Styela clava: one gene and its partner. The main gene of each other region encodes a partner of the protein of the gene in region 2 in a complex. Links are inferred from orthologs where the notes say so. Each region holds a gene or a part of one and is shown on either strand. Other genes may lie near its edges.

Region 1 (10,785 bases), on a different chromosome or scaffold from region 2:
CGCATGTTCCGATGTTCGGTAAACGACGTAAGTACTTTTATTTGGCGTGGTACAACGATTTTGCATGTGTTATTCCTAACCCCCACCTTGCTCTGTCACTCGAAGATTACGTCACTACAACCTCACAATCACGTCAAAGAGCTTGCCAGAGTATAACTACAATCGCCCGAAATGGCATCTTCGGCGGCGATATCGAACTCACTTATTAACGCCAGGTATCGGGATCGTTACGACGAGAGAAATAGCTTGCTCGATTTCGGGTGATCGCATGCGCGTCTTGAATGACAGTTGGTATAGTTTGGAGGACCTTAAGGTTACTGTAGCGTCGTAGTGACGTAATTTTCGAATGACTTAGTCAGATGGGAGTTAAAAATATCATATGTAATATTGTATTTTTTTTTTGGCCCCATTTTTTTTTTATTAATAATGATAGAAATGCAGCGGTAGAACTCATGCCATAGTACTAGACTAGCTGTAGCTTTGAGGTGGATGCCAGGTAATAGCGTAGTAGACGTCATGTCATATGACGTCACCATTCTGAGCCCAAACAAAGTAAATAGACTTCTCGACGAGGACTTTCACAAATATATCGCAACATACCCTCTCAAGCCTTGGGCGTTAGATATATACCAATTACTTACAGTGCGCATGTCGCGAAATAGCTATAGGTTAACCATGCCTTGTTTGGAAGATAAACAGCCAACAAATTGTTGCACAAACAGCCGTCAGGCTGTTGCAATAACTAAGCGCTGCTTGTTGTGGTCGGTGACCGTACATTTGAACCCATGTACATTTGAACCCATGCGTATATCCACGGGTTCAATCTATATGCGGGTGCTAAAACCCATGGGTTAGGGTTAGTATGGGTTTAACTATCCGTGAAACAAAAAAAATTCCATAGGTGCAATAGCATACAGGTGCAATTGTCATGGGTTCAAATGTAATGGAACCGTTGTGGTCATATCGAGTTTCCGTTTTAGACGCCGCAGTACTACATGCCTAATATGGCAAACTATACCTATACGTCATGCGACGCAATCAATCAATCAATCAATCGTTTATTTTGTCATCACAAAAAAACACGTTCAAACATAAAGTGACACAATGAATAAATTACAGTACTAATCATGTTTTTGCGTGACTGGAGTCGCGAGGCACCTAAGAAGGTCTTCAAGCAGCGACACCTACAGCGCTACAGGTTAGAATAAATATAATTAAATAAGGGATAAAATGAATAAATCCTAGGAATAAGTCACATAAGTTACAGCGACATTCGAAATGTATGCGATTATGACACAGTAAAACAGCAGCATTTTTGAGCGGCAGACAAGCAGCATAAAAACAAGCTGTCGTTATGGCAGCGTACTATGCTATTCGAGCACGTCGGTGATAGTCGCTACTGCAAAAATTTTGCCTCGACGATTCAGCATATCCGTGTAAGATTGGGATTCATGAGTAGAACGCCACAAACCGGCAAATATTGTCTGTTTATTTACTTTGGTGCTACTACGAGATACGTGTAGTACTAGTCACCTACATATAGGCACGTATATATATGAATTAGCTTAGTATTGAGAAAATGATTATTTCTGCCGAGTTTTGTAGTACTTTCTGACGTGTTGTGATGTATACTACGTCGTCCACGAAGGAATTGAGCTGCTGCGTTTTGTGTAGTTATTATACAAAACAAATATACATTGGAAGAACAAATTGCAAATTAATTAAGATTAGATCAAATAAGTCATGTCCTCCCACACTAATTTGTATTTATTTTTTACTTTATGTCGTATCAGTGCGTTACAATAAGAAACGTTTTAGTTAAAATCGATAAAACGCAGAAACAGCCCAAATGGAAGAGAATTTTGCTGAAATACGAGCCTTGTTACCCCCAGAATGCGTTCCCATTTGGGATAAAATGATGAGCATTGATATGTCAGAATTTTTTACTGTCAAGAAAAAGACTTTACCCATTGAAGACTGGAAAGGGCATAAAATGCAACCTTCATTCAAAGCTGAAACCGTCCGGTTTGCTTATGAAGATTGGACGCCAAGAGAAGGCGACGTATTCGTTGTGGCCTATCCTAAAACAGGTATAAAATTTATAGTAGTCTTGTATTATTAAATATTTTTGGGATACCATAGATCTTGTGGGATGTAGGTCTTGTTTGCGAAAAAAGGTAACGACTAGTTTTAACATTAATCGTCTAAACTCTAATTAATATAAATTTTTATATTTATCCAACTATTAGTTGTTGCGCATCTTTTGCGTCGCAGACCATAGTCTAGGGACAAAACATATTGTTTGGATCGGACAGTCAAGATTAGATCTCCTGCCGTATTTGATAGTACATTAACATAGTTACCCAATTGATTATATATAAGCACGTCGGGGTTTGTATTAAAAAGGGGCGAGAGACAAGTTGCTTGGCCGAATTCTCTATGGGTTTTTAAAATATCCACATTGAAGCCAGTCATCTACCCATCTCTTATTACAGGACTAAATTGGACAAACGAAATTGTAAAACAATTGTTATACTTTGGACAAGAACGAGACTACAGAATAATGTCAAGTCAGCCAATGGTCATGAGCCTTATTGAAGGAGGGTGGTGTAAGCTATGTTTTCATTTTTGAATCTCATTCGAGAACCATGATTACAATCTAATCATCTTTAATTACTATTCTCTAATAAATGACAAGGTTTTAGTTGAATATTTGATTCAATTTGCTATCTTTGTGATAATCGACCAATGGCCGAACTAAAGTTGCCTACGGCTCTTTATCGTTTATAATTTTGTCTTTGCAGCTGAAAAATACAAAATATTTGATGCAATGCCATTAAAAAAAAGAATATTATGCACACATTTACCTGCACCAGTGATAAATGTCGACAAAATCAAGAAAGTCAACGCGAAGGTAAACATTTCAAAAAATGTATTTCACCCATCTACTCAAATACGATATGTTATGTTTTAGTTTAAAGAGGCGTCCTTACACAGTATACTCTTTTATTCCACATTTTAGTAAAATCAGTTGTTATATATATATATATATTATTAGGGAGTGTTTCATATATTTTGGTTCTGAATTAAAAACACCCGTTTTGTGCCGAACTACTATATATATATACTATTTGTTTTTTATATTTACCCTGGGCCTGGAAAATTTTTGTCAAGAAAGAGTTCCATCTATTATAAACCATTTCGCTGCTCTCCGAAAATTTCAAGTTTACTGTTTCTTCTTAGGTTGTCTACGTGTTGCGCAATCCCAAAGATCAAGCAGTGTCCTGGTTTAACTTCATTCCAAAGTTGCCGAATCTACAAATCGAACCGCTAGATAAATTATTTGGATCAGACTGGGCTACTTTTCTGGACAGCTTTATTGCGGGTATATATTTAACATTTTTATCTTTCCATTTGAGTAGTATATGACTTTACTTTTTATCGGCGACTTTGTCAAGCATGTATGTATATATATGTGTGTGTGTGTTTGTGGGATTAGTGTGTGTGATTTCTTCAAAAAATATATGCACGATCGTGTCATTCCTGTGTGCCTGAGATACACTTTTACCGGAATTCAGAGAACATTTTTTTTTTATATTTAGGCAAAATGCCCATCGGTATGCGTGACGGGGAATGGTATTTGGACCATATTTTAGGATGGCTACAGCATAGAGACGATAAGAATGTGATGTTTTTCTATTACGAAGATATGAAACAGGTATGTACAAAAATGATATCTCATAACAACACACCTTCTGCCATTTTATCATTTATTGCTATATGTTTAAGTTTATATATATATATATATCAAATGTAATAGAATCCGGTAAAAGAATTTAGCAGAATGGCGAAGTTTTTGGATTTAAATCTCACTGAAGAAAACATACGAGAAATTGCCGAGAAAGTTGCCTTTTCGAGCATGAAAAAATCAGATCAAAAAAGCGGAAAAGAAAATGTTGATCAAAATTTGAGAAATCAACTTGGAATACTTAGAAAAGGTGAGGCGTAAATTCATAGCAGAGTCTGCTTTAATGCCAGCACACAGTTGTAGTTCCAAACAGTTGTTCTCGCCATTTTAAAAATCTTTTAAATCAACGCGTTTTCAATTTTTTTTTAATTGTTGAATTGTTAATTAAGAAGTTTATGAGCGTGAGAAATGTGTTATTCTCTTTTTCTTTTAAGTATTCGTTGACTTTGTTTTGACGAAATATTAGATATATATACCAAATTTTTGTGCAAGCTAAGTTCTAGAATAATTTAAAATATCGTATATATAATATAAAACGTTTTTTCTATCAGGTGAAGTTGGTGGTTGGAAAGACCATTTCACGGTTGCTCAATCTGAACAGATGGACAAAGAAGTGAAGAACAAACTTGGAAATACTGATATAAAATTCAAATACACTTTATAGTTAGATAGAAAAAAGTTGAAAATGAAGCACGTTTAAATACAAGTTATTAATATACCTAAATATATGAAATCATGTGTTTTCCTTCTATAGCTGGTTCGACAATATTATATGCTATATACGTTTGGAGAAGCAAGCAAATTCGGCATGTTTTAACACCGCTTTTGTACGCCCTCAATACTTTGTGAATGTCAAAATCATAGCAGTTAACAAATAAAAGTGTGATTTTTCAACTTTGGCATAAACTCTTGATCACAGCGCAGTATATGGGTTCGAGGTCAGATGTGACTGCGTTGAATGCTTAAAACCAGGCAACGCAAAGGCGTGGGAAAAATTGAAGAAATGTCTGTCCCATGACTGTTTATTTAAACCAGGGGTGGGCATCATACGGCCCGCGGTCCAGGTCCAGCCCGCGACGAGATTTTGACTAGCCCGCTGACTGTATCCAACCACACTATGTAATGTGATCCGACGCATCATTCCTGAAAGTTGCCGATCGCTCTACTCCCACCGCACTGTCAGTGCGAGCTGGTGAAACAAACAATTGCTTTAGTGAACAAACAATTGCGTTAGCACACTTGTTAAACAAACAATATAAGGTCAAAGCAGGGAGCGTTGTAAACATTCCCTAGCACTGTTATCAGTCATATTTAAATTCTAAATATAAATAGATTTTAGAAATTAGATTTTATAGATATATATTAGGTTTTATTGACCATGGAATATCCCAAGAAACGTACAGTTGACAGAGAGTGTCGAGCATTTAATAAAGATTGGATACCGAAGTATTTTTTGTAAGAATCCGACCAATCGAGGACTTCATTTTCCCACATCTGGCCCGCCGACTAGAAAAGTTGCCCACACCGGATTTAAACCTTTGGATAGTTGGATAGATATTGCTAGTCTTATAGTTTTGCATTTTATATATAGCATTGTTATATATGTAAACAATTTGAATAAAATATAAGCTTTTGAAGCGTTCAAAACAGACCTGCTAAGTGCTAATTGACCTGAATTTTTTCAGTTGGGTTTGAGTTCGAATGGAAAGTATGTCACGACTCACGAATCTGATTTAATCTGGTGAAATGTTTGCTCGCCAATACACAGGACAACCTTTGAGATTCAGTAAACTAGATTTGTTTTATTGTACAAAGCAACCTACCAAATAGTAAAAATGTAACGTCATCTCTACTATCATACAACACACAAAGCCAAATTATAATTTGCAATAAGGTGTTGTTATTAAAGTTAATGGGGACCAGGTGCAAGATGTAAATTTTATCGTATTGTGATCTTATTGAGAGTACCCTGCGCATATGATGGCCCTTCACCGTAATCTCCAGATAGCGATGTTGGTTGGTTAATTCGTTAAAGCCATGGTCACCGACAACAACTGTTACGCGAAATTAAAATCCCCGATTTTGGTAACACAGAAACTTAATATTATTAAGTTACAGAAAGATAATATTATTCATATTTTCCCCAGTAGAAAGGACAGTTTATAAGACATTTTCTTTCACATTTACATTCACGTACAATAACGGTCAATCTTATACATAATACAATATATTGAATATTGGGAATACGATACAATATAAGGAATACAATATAATGACCTCGTGGTCGTATCGCCCCCCGAGGTCTGTACCAAAAACTTCTTAGTATTTTTTATTGTTGCAATGTTCGTTTTCTGGTTGATGAACAATAAATTTTCTCTCTTTCTCTTAATCATGTGATTGGCGGTGGTTTCTCGCTCGTGAAAAGAGGGATACGATAAACATTTAAATAGATGAGAGCAACTAGAGCCCCTCGGTCGCTTACCAGAAAAAAATAAGTCCAAATGTTGCATCACCATTAAATTCTTACTGGTTAGGCACTGATGGACATGAAAATGCCCAAATACTACACGCGGATATCTATTTTTGGATAAATAACTTATGTCTCCGATGTAGTTGTGCTGGTATCCGACTGTTTTTTTTTCAGCTTTTCACTTCTCTCATTTTGGTTCGCGTATACAATATTGTTCAATTCGATATATTTGTAACCATGCGATACTTGAATAGTTAAAATAATATTTAGTCCGTGTTTTTTTCCTGGTTTTATTTTGGTCGAAGTATTTTAGTCTCCGGTGCTAAAATTGATAAAGCTGGTTGTAATGTGACTCCGTACACTAATTTGCTCCAGTGGTTAACGCGAAAATAAGCTTACGTTCGTTTTTCTTGATCGGTTTATCTTTACGTCTCACAGTCTTTAAGATCCGAATAGTCTATTTGCATTCTGCCTGGTACCGGTACCGGTATTACTTTTTGGTTTGGAGGTATAACAATTGAAGTCGCGATCTAAGATAGGGAAACACTTGAATATCAAGAATGGCGACATCTTTAGGAGCTAACCGATATAATCGTCAAAACTGGGAAGAATCGGTGAGTTGTCAAAATCATTCTGTCAAGTTTATGACTTGATATTCATAGCACCCATACCTGCAAACAATTGAATAAGCTTAATACGGAATAAATATAGAATTAGGAATAAAGCTATAAATACATGAAATAGCTTGGAAAGGTTGAGAAATATACAATTGGACAACCAGAATCAGAACAAAATTATTTTTAATTTTTGCCTGACCTCAAATCGCAGAATCATTTATTTTTGTTTGACTTCTGACATGTATGAACCGAATGATAATAATAAGTATAATTATACAAGTTGATACAGAAATGTCCTAATAAATTGTAGTGTGATGAATATTGAAACTGAAATTTAAATCTTCACTTTCTGACTTTAGGATTTCCCGATTCTATGCCAGACATGCCTTGGAGACAATCCATACATCAGAATGGTAAGTTTTTGTGTTGCCATCGACAGAATTGCTTGTTGTAGTCGTATGTACCGTATTTATTCAATTATAACGCGCACTCGTGTATACTGGTATAACGCGCACCTTTAAATTTTGAATGAAAATTGGTATAAAATTCTTTTTTTTATTTTTTCTCTACTAACTACTGGTAAGCACATAAGGTAACAACTCACAGCATGAACAAAAATTTATTAAAAGCACACAGTAATTCAAAACTCTTCAAAATCGGATTCAGTCTCTGACTTTTGTGCAATTTTTGTTTTCTGGCGTAGTGCAAGTCCATACCTTCTCATAAACTTTTGTGCCCAACCATTAGATGCTTTAAAGGTTGAATCTTTGCAAATCTTTTGTGCACGGAGTCTAATATGGAGCGAAGTGACGATGTACCCACTAGATCTTTGATCAACTATCCAATCATAAAGCTCCTTCTCCAACTCTGGGTACCGGGCTTGTCTCCCTCGCCGCGCTTTCTTTGTTTTGTTCATATCTTTTGAACAACTTTCTGCTTTCTCCAATCTCTGACATTTGTCTCTGGTACATTGAATTCTCTAGAAGCTTTTCTATTTCCATGAGTTTCCGCATAATCAACAACCTCCAGTTTGAATGCAGCCCTATATGCAGAACGTTTTTGTCTTGCCATAATAGATAATGGGTAATATATAATGGGTATCTACAGTACAGTACGATAATGGCAAATAAATATTCTCAACGCAGCGGGAATGTCAAACACATGCTGAGCTGTCGCATGTGCGTGTGCTTGCACGAAATCGAACGCTTGCACGAATGTCAAACGCACGCTGAGCTGTCGCATGTGCGTGTGCTTGCACGAAATCGTCCTGCATTGGAATGTGCATGCGCGAGCGCACGCACGTTTCAGATGTTTAAAACCACATTTTCAATACCGCATTTCTCAGACCTCGTGTATAACGCGCAGCATTGATTTTTGCCTAAAATTCAGTTCAAAATTTTGCGCGTTATAATCGAATAAATACGGTATGTAGCTTATTGTCATGATTCAGTGATTATTTCAATTTTTTTAAATTGAAACATTTCACTTCACTGATTAAAATCCTATAAACAACTAAGTGTAACTGTGTTGCTATCTAATCTACCTCTAGTGACTTTAATAGCTGAAAAATATTCTGATAAGATTTAAGACAAACCAAATTTTTCGATGAAAAAATCTGCAATTATCGGTTAAAAAATCTTAAATTATTACAGCAGTTAACGGATAAAAAATGCTAGTGTCCACAATTTGGACATCCCTGCTATAGATGAATTCAATACAAATATACTTTTCCATACTTTATATACTAATGAGAAGAAATCAACTGTTTTTGTTTTTCATAGACTAAGGAAAAATTTGGCAAAGAATGTAAAATTTGTGATCGACCGTTCACAATATTCCGATGGTGTCCGGGTGCCAGGATGAGATTTAAGAAAACTGAAGTCTGTCAAACTTGTTCAAAACTCAAAAATATCTGCCAAACTTGCCTACTGGATCTCGAATATGGTAAGGATTACGATAAACAAAATTTGTCTAGTTGTATATCTATAAGTTAGTATTAGTACTCTTGAATAAACACTTAAATTTATAAGCCTTATTTTAAATGCATACCGGTAATTATTTCCAACAAGGTAAAGAGATGTTTTTATGCTCGGGCCATGTGATGAAAGAAATGCACTGCATTCCATTAAAACAAATAACCTCCGATATTTTTGCAAAATCTTAGACACATAGCGCGTGTGAAATTTTCGAGGATGTGTAAGCCTATTCAACTAACTACTAATATATTTCATGAATGAAATACGGTTCAAGTAAACAAACGAGAAATGAGATTTTTGGGATGTAGCAGCCATGTTGAAAAATTGGCTACGGCATACTTATGTCAAATTCAATTTCAAAATTGGGACATGCTCTGCTTTTCAGGCAAATGTTTACATTAATTTTCAGGTTTGCCCGTTCAAGTTCGAGACCATGCACTGGGACTGATTGACGATCTTCCCAAATCAGACGTAAACAAAGAATTTTATACTCAAAATATGGAAAGAGAGGTAAATATTATTTCAAGTTTGGTTATAAAATATTTATACACTATTTTCTCAAAATGAGCTTCAGAAATAAATGTTCAAATTTAAACAGTTGAAAAATGCTTGTCTGAAGAAGTTCGACCTCGTATAAATGAAACGTTACAGACATACATTTATGCTAGTGTGCAGCAAGACTCTTGAATTAAATTAAATATTTAAACTGCGAAAAAACACAGTATGACTCTCACATTGCGTCAAATAAAATAGTAATGATTTCAATTTATATTCAACAGTAATCATGTAACTACCCTGAAAAAGGTATATTCTAAGTGGTTCCCAACTAGGATTTTGATCTCGGGAAGGAATTACAGAATATAATTTTGTATTATTATTTAGTTAATACTAGCCTAGCCTATTATTGTAATGCATATTTATCCTCACATTATAAACTATTCAAATTTGCAAAAGCAATCGCGCTCCAGAAGTGTTTGTATGAATATGAAGGTAACTTATTTTGTTTGCCTACTTTACATCAAGTTGTGTAAAAGGACTGAAACCTATGGGCAGGGGTATATTCACTTGGCTAACACTGACAGTCCCCGAACTCGTAATAGAACTAAAATAAAGAAAAAAACGAATAAAAGTATGTCCTAACCCTAACCTGGTACACACACTACGGGAGTACCAAAGCCAGTGTGCGAGTTGCAAATAACATTAGCTCACGATCCCTTGAAAATTGAACAAATAACAGAACAGAATGTTTCTAACATTTTCAACATATTCACAGATTGCTAATACAGATGGAACAGTAGCTGTGGGCTCTGTTGGGAGAAGTCAAGCTGCCAATGATTTGCTAATGAGAATGGCAAGAACCACACCTTATTACAAAAGAAATCAAGCTCATATTTGTTCTTTTTGGGTAAAAGGGGAATGCAAAAGAGGAGAGGAATGTCCTTATAGGTATGAAACATTGCGACTTTGTCTTATTGATCTAGCATTCTATTAAAGGAATGTTGATGTAAAAATAGAATTCCCTCCGAGACCAGGCAACATCATTTAGTCTTGAATATTCTATTATAGACTCATACTGTCTAAAATGAGTTTTTTATTAATCTATTATACTTATTATTATTTACCTGTAATCATCTACAACAGGCATGAATCACCCACTGATCCAGAAGATCCTCTTTCAGACCAAAACATTAAGGATCGTTATTATGGAATTAATGATCCAGTTGCAGATAAAATGATGAAAAGGGCTCAAAATTCTGCTGATATAAATCTGGTAGCCCCAGAAGATAAAACCATAACTACTTTATATGTAGGTGGTCTCACAGAGGAAATAGAAGAACAAGATTTAAGGTAGTGTGTAGCTCATTGAAATACTTAAATAGTTTTGAAATTGAATGGATTCCAAATAGAAATAGGCAAAGGAATCTATATAATAATTTAATGACTTCAAAAATATTTGTCTGATAGTTATATAAA
Region 2 (10,526 bases):
AAAGCCGCAATAACACAAACAAGAATATCGGTCAGAGACCGAAGACTTATCGATCGAAAGTTAGGGGCGCTTCTACTCCATAGTGACACCTTGTGTCCCATCACTAATCAATTTATAACTCGCTAATTATACGACATAATTCATTCAAAATCAATATGCTTTTGGTCCAACATATGATGAATACACATGCAAAATCTGGAGCAGATTCAATCTCGTATTCGTGAGATATCGCGTGCATCCAACAGACAGACATACAGACAAATACCTATCAACATACTTACCGATTAGAATCGATAAGTAATGATAACACTGTTCTGAAAACTCAACTTCCCAGCTTACAAATTGAACTATATTTTGAATAGACCTTATTCATTAAAAACCCATCCTACGCGCAAAAAGAAAAGTGATGTAAAATTTTTTTCGGTACCATAAGTTATCGAAGTGGACTAGGGGCAGAGTAATTCTGCTATTATGTGATTGCATTCATTGGATAGTGATAAAAGGGCTATGCCAGAATTATAGCGCAAAAGTTAGAATTCAGTTACTCCCAGGTAGGGATGGACGACATACAAATACCGAATCCAGAGGATTCGAATCCCTATGACTCGGTTTCCACCTCTTCGGGTCGTGCATCCAAATTTCTATTTTTGATTTCTATTTTGTTAAACAGGGACGAGCGTTTTTTTCTCGCGACGAAATATGTCTTGTGTGACTTATGTTTATTGAAAAGAGCCTGCAAAAGCGTTTGCGACAGACATCAAAGAAGGCGTTATTGCACCATTTTATCATGACGCATCACTCAAGCGTAACGAGAGAACTGTGTAACTTAAATAAACAAAGACAAAAAAATCGCGAGCGAACTATATTAAGTTAACTATGATATCACTGGTGTTGTTTCTACATGTGCTTCCAACGACTTCAGACTTTATATATTTCTATTGTAACTTATGAGACGTGCAACATTGTTTTTGTTTTCTTTGAATAAGGCAAAATTAAATAACTAGTATTTTATTCAGTGAATTAGTATTTATGCTGTTTCTTAGTTAGTTTTTTGCACAATTCATTGCACTAAAATACTTTCAACATTAGCATTTGAATGAGGCACTATCATTGCTTGTGTGACGACCCTTGTTTTATCTGTTAAACCTAACACAGCCGGATGACATATACTCATTATTATTATGCCTAGTCTAGCTCTAAAAATTAATAATGATGTTTTACAGTCAATGTTCAATAGTAGAGTCGTATAATTCACGAAAAAGAGACTCCAGCCGTGACGCAAAGTGCGAATCGTATAAATAGCGTTGATTTCAAAATCGCCATTCAGATGTGTAAAATTGTTGACGCGACTCAGACAGAAAATCAATAGCATTAACTCCTTTATAATGACTTATTATTGGTTTAGCATGTATTTTCAGTCAGACATATCATCCCTGGCGCTGTGATATTTTGATAAATATGATTTTGACTGCACCATACTTGGCAGAGGTATCCAGAATTTTCAAACGCGAAAAAAACGTAAAATTAATGGTAATTTTCACGCGTAACGGCGCACATTATAATGTTTACGGCTTTCTACGCGCATTTCCGTCGGAAAAAGTAACATTTTTTGCATTGAGGGGGGCGTGTGCACTAATAATTAGAGGTGTGGCGTCATCAAAATTGTCAATTGAAGCCTTGAACTTAAAAATTTAGTAAATACAATCGTGAATTTTAGAGTGACCATCCTTGCTATAATAGTGGTTTTGGTGCTGTTCTGTTGAAAAATAACACAAAAAAAGGTTAAAATAAAAATTAATTAACTAGGAATAATTATTAACCTTCTACTAGACACAAAATCTTGCAAGTTCAATAGAAATTTTTGAATTTTGGCGTAAAAAAATTTTTTTTTAGATGAGTGCGTTTTACATATATTGCTGAATAGAGCTCTATCACACGCTAATAAAAAGCCATGAGTGAAGCTTTGGGGGCCTAATGGTTGACAAAAAATAACCCATGTAAAATGGCACCAGACAGATCGGTTGGGGAAGGTTTTAAATGCTGTCATGTGAAATTATTGTCTTATTTGGTATTTTGACAATGGGGACACTGGGAGGACACACGCTGTGACACTGTCGGTTCTGTTCTTTTTGGGTGTGGCTGTTAGCGTGTGCTGTGCTGTGGTGTGATGTGGTTGGTACCGGTACAGTGTGGTTGGATTCTGGTCATGAGTGTCGGTGGGAGTGCCTCTGGTCTCAGGTGGGTTATCAGGGATCTTTGTTTGTGGTTTTGTGACTGCGGGATGGAGATTTGTTGGATGTTTTTATGCTAGACAGTAGGCTGATATTATTGTTCCAGTACAGTGCCATTGCAGTTATTTTATCGTTGTATTTTTGATTGTTGTCAGGGAATTAGCTATCATCAGTACTGTTCAAAGTGTTTTTATTGTGTATATTCTGTTTTCTTGCATTGTGCTACCTGGTACTTGTCGCTTTATTGTATGCTTGTCTTTTGTTTGAAGTATTTGGTTGTATTAAGATTGATGAATAATAAATAGAATAAAATAACATTACTTGAAGTGAATATTGAGAAGAAACTTGACGTCAGACCATATTGGAAGATATTTTGAACTTGGATAATTATTTCATCGTCTGTCGGTACGCTACACTTGCTTAGCGAACTCAAAGTATTCTGAAAATGAAGTCAGGGAATTTTTTGCATATCCTTCAGCCCAAAACTTCCCTGATTCTGTGTTGTTGTTCCACTTTACAAGGTTGAATATTTTTTTGAAGCCTCTGTTCCAGCTAGTTTATAACGGGAGATAAGATAATAAATAAGCCTGGAATTTATATAATCTTCGATTGTACAAGTGAGTAGTGGATCAGCTTTTAAGTGGGCGGGACTAATTTAGTAAAAATAGTTTTGAAGAGCTAGAGATTATTGGTATTTCTATCTACAACAGCCTGAATGTACAGCCATCGGGTTTTGCAGTCAGATGGTATTTTCAATGAATGTAGCCCTTGATTAATTAATAAAGTTGATTGTCTTTGTAATAATTTAGCAAACAAATTATGAGTTTCAGCAATTAAAAACGGATATAAATTTACAATGCGCATCTGGTAATGACATATTTAAATAAATTCGTTGAATGGAAAATGTAAGTAATTCGGAGACTTATCGTGTAAGGCATTTTGAGATGTTACATAAAACGTACCAGGGTGATCGTCTGCGCCAACACATCTATGGCTATGCCATTGTTCAACTACGGTAAGAACTACTTTCGCGGAATAATTGAAATCATCCCTAACGTCGTTTGTGCAACCAGTTATGGTTTACGGATATATATATATCTTCTTTTTTGAGTATCGTGAAGAAATAAATTACTGACTGATGAAAATGACTATTTGACAATATATTTCTTACCACGTTAACCTGTTGGCTGTCAAATCCCTTCTCCACGACCATTGATAGGCCCTCGGGAATCTCGATGTGGATTGCCCACAAATTTAGGGAGATTTATCGCTTGATTGGAGTGGCACTGTAAGAGGGCGGCGATGGCACTGGAGCCGTTGGCTCTATTGCTTTAACCGCTGCGTACGCTGGCTGCGCATTTGCCGAATCCTCCAATAAGGATTCCATGTACAATTTCCCAGCCTGGTATTCGTCTTGAATACCTTTTGGAAATCTTCTACATTAACTTTCGTACTGGTCTTTTTTGCCCCCTTTTCTACAGTTGCGAGATTAATTTCGGCTTTCTTGACCTCTTTCTTTGCCTGTTCCAATTCCTTTTTTTAGCACTCGATAGTTCGCGTTGCATTTCGGCAAAAAGTCTTATCAAGTCTTTGCAGAGTTTCTTTTCCGTCCCGCTAACATTCTTGTGTCTCTCTATGGCCTGTTTGATTAGACTCATTATTTCCCGAAGTTTCTCTTCCCCCTTGTAAGGCGCGCCCTCCCCTTCTTGAACCAATTTAGCACCATCTCCTATAAATGTCTTGGAAAAGTATTAACGTGCAAGCATGCAATTCTCAGCTCTTCTTTTAAAATTTCTCTCGTAAAGGCTGGTATTCTGGACTGGTGTTGCCGTTTTGTTGGCGACGCTGGGAATCAGTAGTCCTGTCCCTTACTAATGCTGATTAAATTAGTCAATTAGATTAGGAAACGATTAAAGCTACTTGCAGTTTGCGTCTTCTCGCAGGGCTGCCTCTCCACGGCGATTTTCTTGATGTGGTGCTGTCTCGTTCGGTTCTCTTGCAGATCTTACAGACGTACAACAGCGACACTCAGATGTTCATCGGTAAATTGTTTATCGTTTCGACGACAGAGGTCTTCGTCCACACCAACTCGAGTCTCAGAGCGACCCGAATCTGCCGATCTTATTTAATTTTATGGTCTAAGCCTTAATACAACCAAACACTCCAATATTAGTTCGGTTAATACAAAAAAAACATAATATACCCAAACTAATATAAACATTTAACATATTGAAACGTTGTCTACACGAAATTTCAAAACACCAACTTGATCACTGAAATATACATTTATCAGTGATCATAATCGTCACTACTTTTCACATAATATTTTGCTAAATATTCGATATTTATGCATGAAAATATCATTACACACACAAAAGATAATTGGCATACGATATGAAATATTGTAACAAAATCACATTGTTCATTGAATAATTCCATAGACACATCAGCTCTATGTTTAACCATCCACAATCGACCGTAGATCGCCAAGGACCCTTGATACCGAAGTTAATCTTTCATTAGAAACACCTAATATGGTGCGTTGGTCATGACAATGTAATCTGCCGTGACAATTGCCCTCAAATCAATCCCAGTGGTGCCTCCATTTTTTTCGAGTGTTTTTCTCTGCTCAGTCATATTTACTCATTTATAAAGTATGTATATAACTTACAGATAATTACTCCGCCGAGGTGAAATTGTTCAAATACACTGAAACCGGAATATATGTTACATTCATCAGCAATTTAGTTTTTGCATGGTGGCCCCGATTTTGTTCCTAAGTCTGGTGGGTGAAAGTATTGGTTATATTAAGAGTTTTCAACTGTTCCGTTTTATAGTTTTTTTATGAGTTTTAAAATACAAGTTGGAACAATCCCAATAAATAATCGCATTCAGTATGCGGTATAACTTTACTATGCAATATAACAAAATAAAAACATGAAATTACGACTTACATTCTCCATTCGGATGCGCCCGATTAATCAATAATGAACAATTTAATCAAAAATAAATTGAACATTAAACTCAAAAATAATAATAAAATAAAGTTTCAAGTCATTTAGTCGTACGAGTAAGCAAGATTACCTAAAAGATTAAAAATGAGTAGTGCATAAACCAAATACATACACGATATAAATATATGCGTATTAATTCCTTAAGCCCTAATAAAAATTCAGATATAAGCACAAAAATGAAAATACATACATACACGCTAAGTTTAAATCAATGAGAAATTCCAAAGTCTTATAACATGCTTGATCCCACATGACCTATTCATACAATAATTACATTTCATAACGTGGGTGAATTGATTGACAGGTGGGATAAACTTCATGTCGAACATTTTCAGAAATCGTTTGCGGTTCAATTACAAGTCAACAACATGTGTTTTTTGTGAGAACATTTGAATATTCAACATTTGATCAACAATATTCCCAATCACTACATCATGTTGCAATTTCCAGAATGAAAGACATTTAAACTTTACAATTGGCAAAAAAAATTAAAATACAAAACTCAAAGACATTTAACGTTAACAACTTTGTAACTAATTCTAAACTAAAATAATAGTAATAAATTACGAACATTTTCTTACAATATAACTTAACTTAGAATCCCATTTCTAATTTTTGAGATCAAGATTACGTGAATAATACAAATAATTAACATAAACCCTTTTTATAATATCAAAAGCGACAGTCCAGGTTTAATTGTGAGTCATAAGTGCCCAATTTACGTAAAACCTTTTTGCAATATATACGAATGCGACGTTTTGCTAAAAAACCACAAGTCATAGACTTTTCAACATATGTGACCTCATTTCGCAGAGAATTTCCTGTTTTCAAGACTCACTGCTAAAATAGGAATAGTTTCTTGATATGCAGTGCGCGGACAAGACCACGCTAGCATTTAATGACTCCCTGTTCACAGAAAATTAGTTCCATGACTCTACCAAAATAAGAGTTCATATTTCCCAACTATGCCAAAATAATAATAACCCAATTTCGACTGTAAAAATTTTGCTCTATTATCCTATTCGTATTTTGTGCTATTAAATTGAGCTTTAGACAGAAATCATTTTTCTAAATATTCCAATTAGCTTAGGCATACGGTGCGTACGGCACTTTTACTCGGATGCCCCGATATGTTATTCGTACAACAAAATATACGCTAACACAAATTTTTTAACAATAATAAATATCTTTGTACACTGCCACATCGCTCTACACGAGTCAACGCCGCACTTTTCGCTTAGTTGCACTTCTCCACCCTCTAATCGCAGTGTTCATCCGGGGTGTTACTCGATTACTCGAAAGTAAACCCCTCAGCAAAACTTTACAACTTCCCTCCAATATGAATTTTGTCACGTCATTGGATATACGAAGTGCATCTGCTTCGGAGCGGTCATTATCTCGGCCAGCTTCTGGCATATCCCGAAACGAGTGATCAGCAGTCGTCATTTTGGGTTTCGCATCATGATTTTGCTTTTCAACTGCATTTGGACGTTTCCTCGGATTTCATCCATTTTGATATTAACATATTCTTCACTATTCTGCTGGCTGGTTCTCACAGAAGGTTGATCAATGAAGACTTTTTTCTCTTTAGCCACTCGGGCAGATGCTTTGCTGTTGTTTCTAGATTCTGGCAGCTTGCTCATACTTTCAGTATTGACCAGCTGTATCGTCGCCTCATCTGGGTCCCATTCAGGTGTTTTTTCAGGGCATACCTTGGCCATTTTCGCCGAACATTCATCTTTGTTGTTACTAATATATATCATTCCGAATTTGCGTTTTACCAAATCTGGGCTCTTTCCAGATTTTATCCAAGGGCCCTCGTTGGCAAGCTTCATTTGTCAGATTTGTCTTGGCCGGGAATTTTGTCGTCTTTCCTACTCTGTACCTTCATTGAATTTGCATAATACCGACTCTGCATACGGGTTACTTTATCAGGTTCATTGTCGTTCATGATTATCGGTTCATCGTTAATTGCAGTTAGTACTACGGAAAATTTTGATGGCATTCTGGACGCGACTAATATTTTTGTTACTTCATCAACGGGCGTTACACTGCATTGGGGCCCGATCATGGCCCTAATCCTGGTTATATTAGTGCGCGTTCCCCACTGTGAAGGAGTTGATACAATGAATTGCGATGTCTGCATCCTTCTCTTATTGAAATTAATGATAATACCAAGAATTTTTAGAGTCGTGAGAACTGGTAATCTGGACCGGTTATGTCGGTTTTTTGATGACGTTGTGGATTAGTAGTTCTGTCCCTAACTAATGCTTGTTAAATTAGTCCGTTAGATTAGGAAACGATTGAAGCTACTTGCAGTTTGCGTCTCCCGAAAGGATGTGGTGTTGTCTCGTTCGGTTCCCTTGCAGACGTAAGACAGCGACACTCAGGTGTTCACTGGTTAGTTGTTGTTTATCGCTTCGACGAAATAGGTCTATATATTTCTGCCTATCTTATTGACTTTAATGGTTCAAAATTAATACTCCAAAACCAGATACTCAATATTAGGTCGGTCAATATAATATAATAAAACATAATATAACATAAAATAACAATAAAACATAATATAACCAATATAATATAAACCTTTAACATATTAAACCATTGTCTACACGCAACTTTAACACTTATCACTCAATATTTTGACAAATGTATTAAATAGTTGATGTGAATGGAAATATCAGTACACACGCGAAAGATATTCGGTATACGATATAAAATACTGTAACAAAATCACATTGGTCATCGATGCTAGTATTACAATAAAAACATCAGACCTAATGCAGGGTGCTTTGTCCGGAGATATCGGGGCAAAATTGTCTTGCGACGATTATTTCAATAATAGGGCTGGAAATGGTTAACCGATCAATCGGTTAACCGATTTTACATGGTTAACGGTTACGATTTATTTTAACCGTTAACTGACATCTCAGGTACAAATCATCTTTATAATGTACAATTAAGGTACATAAAAAATGATTAGTTCATCGCAAATTCATCACCTGGGGTGTTTAATTCAAAAGAACATCACTAACTGTATTGGTGAGGTCCCAACAATTGTAAAAATAATTGAAGTACAAATATTACTGATTATAAAAATTTGAAAACGATAAATTCAGAATAATTTTTTTGCCAAAATATACTGTTCCCGATTTCATTGCAAAATCGTATATTCGATGTCATCCAAAAAGTGCGCAGTTGATGCTGTTTTTCTTTATGATATCTCAAAGTAGAAATTGCTCATCGAACACTGAGAATTTGTCTGTTTAATACCGGAATCGGGTCTTATTGAAGTATGTTCGAACCACGCTACATATCCCTTGCAGTAGCGCGATTATGGAACTATCTCGATTCGTAAATAATTTTAAGGCGATACCGGGATAAGATCAATCGAAATGAATTTGTAACGATTGTGACGTACCAATCTAAAATTATAAATTATTGCGTGAAACGTCAATCCGCAGGTAACCGGTTGAATCTACCCGGTTAACGATTAAATTGTTTTACCTGAAATTACCAGCCCTATTCAAAAACCTTCAGCGGTAAACACCTTAATATACGGTCACATTCATAAATCAATATTCCATTCAGTATGCGGAATAACTTAATCATGCAATACAATAAAACACAATACAGTACACCATAGGTTCTCAAAGTGCTCCATACGGAGCCCCAAGGCTCCGCGAGAGAAACCCAGGGGCTCCGCGAGCTATTCGATTACTTTTCAAAATACTGACCTGGCTAATTTAAAACTGTTCCTAGAAGCAATAACAGCTTTGATAAAATTTAACAACAATATAGCCTCGAAATATGGCAAAGTGGCGGACTTAAAAAATGACATTATTTATAAGCAGGAGCGCAGCCAGGATTCTTAAGAGGGAGGAGGTTCAAATTTGGAATCGGAAATTTATGCGCAACATTCTTGGCGATTCAAAAACAACGGATAACGAGATTTCTGTTGCGTAAAATATTCAATTCATGACCGATGTGAGCGTGTCTTGTCGTAATAATTTAATTGTGCTCATCGTTACTCACGTTCGATTCCAGATTACTATTAGGATTACTAAAATGAAAGAATACTATTCTAAAATAACATAAACTGCCAACTATAAATAAATTGGAGTCGTATTTTTGCGATCTTGGGATTTGTTAAACTTGATTTGTTCTCCGTCGGTAGTTTTAGAGTGGAAAAATTTTATTCTGGCGTGAGTCTGCTGAAACAAAACGTATAGTGTTATCTTCCATTTTGAGTTTTAGTTCTAATATTTTAGAATGACGCTTTTTAATCAAGAAATTTGAATTGCGGATTTACCTCTTTATTAACTATTATTTTTAGCATTTCGTCGCCGATGATTATAATATGGTAACATGTTTTTCACATTGAACTTGTTATTCCCCACGAGAACGAAAAAGCAATTATCGTCGTCATTGTGGAACAATACATGTATATGCCGAAGGAAATTTTTGATTTAGTGAGAATAAACACCGGCGTAAAGATGTTTGAGGTTTAAAAACACGCCATGCTGACGAAAACAATCGGCGATTGTAACAAAATGCAATCGCGCACGTTATTAGCGACCTTTTAAGTCTTCCAAAAATGTCAAGAGGGGAAAAGATTCGTCGCCTAATTTATTAATATGTTTGTCATGTGTCAAATTTACAGCTTTAGTATTATACAATTTATCTTTGAAATTTAGATTTATTTATGACTTTTATTAACCCTATTAAAATGGTTTAGTATTTAAATTGAGTAAAGTACGTTTAACTTACTCAGGAATATTAATCGGAAAGTAACAATTTTAACATTTATTTTGGGGCTCCGTGAATAATAGTCAACCTTTTCAAGGGCTCCGCAACGCCAAAAGTTTGAGAACCCATGCAGTACACAATTACAACTTACAATCTCCATCCCGAATATGTAAAAAAGTTTTATAAAATTGACCTTATAGGCCAGGGATGGCGAACCACTGACCCGCGGGTCACAAAGTGACCTACCGCGTTTTATTTGTGACCCGCCAAGCGGAGGCACGAATGAAATAAAAAAATGCTAACATATCAGTGATAAAAAATGATAAAACCGGCTTTAAATTAATCTAACAATTACTAAACTATTATAATGTACCGTCAGTTGTACAGTCAGGGAGGGCTGCGATCGCTCATGTTCGAAATGTTGATTTTCGGGCCGGTATGGTGATTTTCAAAACCCCTAATCTTGTACGCATGTATGCACCGCTGTGTACCGTTATTCAGCAATTGGGCCTGACATCGTTTATGACATAAC

Evidence for each region.
Region 1: U5 small nuclear ribonucleoprotein 40 kDa protein-like (region 2) and pre-mRNA-splicing factor RBM22-like share a complex: the UniProt entries of both Homo sapiens proteins name them as parts of the postcatalytic spliceosome P complex. The link is inferred for Styela clava from reciprocal best matches to the Homo sapiens genes SNRNP40 and RBM22.

The regions. Positions count from the first base shown.
Region 1 is NC_135260.1:8,228,167-8,238,951, forward strand, and holds the start of pre-mRNA-splicing factor RBM22-like, read left to right. Parts: upstream 1-6,636; 5' UTR 6,637-6,778; coding exon 6,779-6,832; intron 6,833-7,194; coding exon 7,195-7,248; intron 7,249-8,616; coding exon 8,617-8,779; intron 8,780-9,220; coding exon 9,221-9,321; intron 9,322-10,084; coding exon 10,085-10,257; intron 10,258-10,452; coding exon 10,453-10,659; intron 10,660-10,785. Other genes in the region: cytosolic sulfotransferase 3-like, read left to right, coding at 1,850-2,090, 2,496-2,609, 2,805-2,914, 3,244-3,385, 3,603-3,718, 3,821-3,998, 4,300-4,412. UniProt on the Homo sapiens protein: Required for pre-mRNA splicing as component of the activated spliceosome. Involved in the first step of pre-mRNA splicing.
Region 2 is NC_135250.1:11,928,586-11,939,111, reverse strand, and holds the start of U5 small nuclear ribonucleoprotein 40 kDa protein-like, read right to left. Parts: upstream 4,391-10,526; 5' UTR 4,376-4,390; intron 1-4,375. UniProt on the Homo sapiens protein: Required for pre-mRNA splicing as component of the activated spliceosome. Component of the U5 small nuclear ribonucleoprotein (snRNP) complex and the U4/U6-U5 tri-snRNP complex, building blocks of the spliceosome.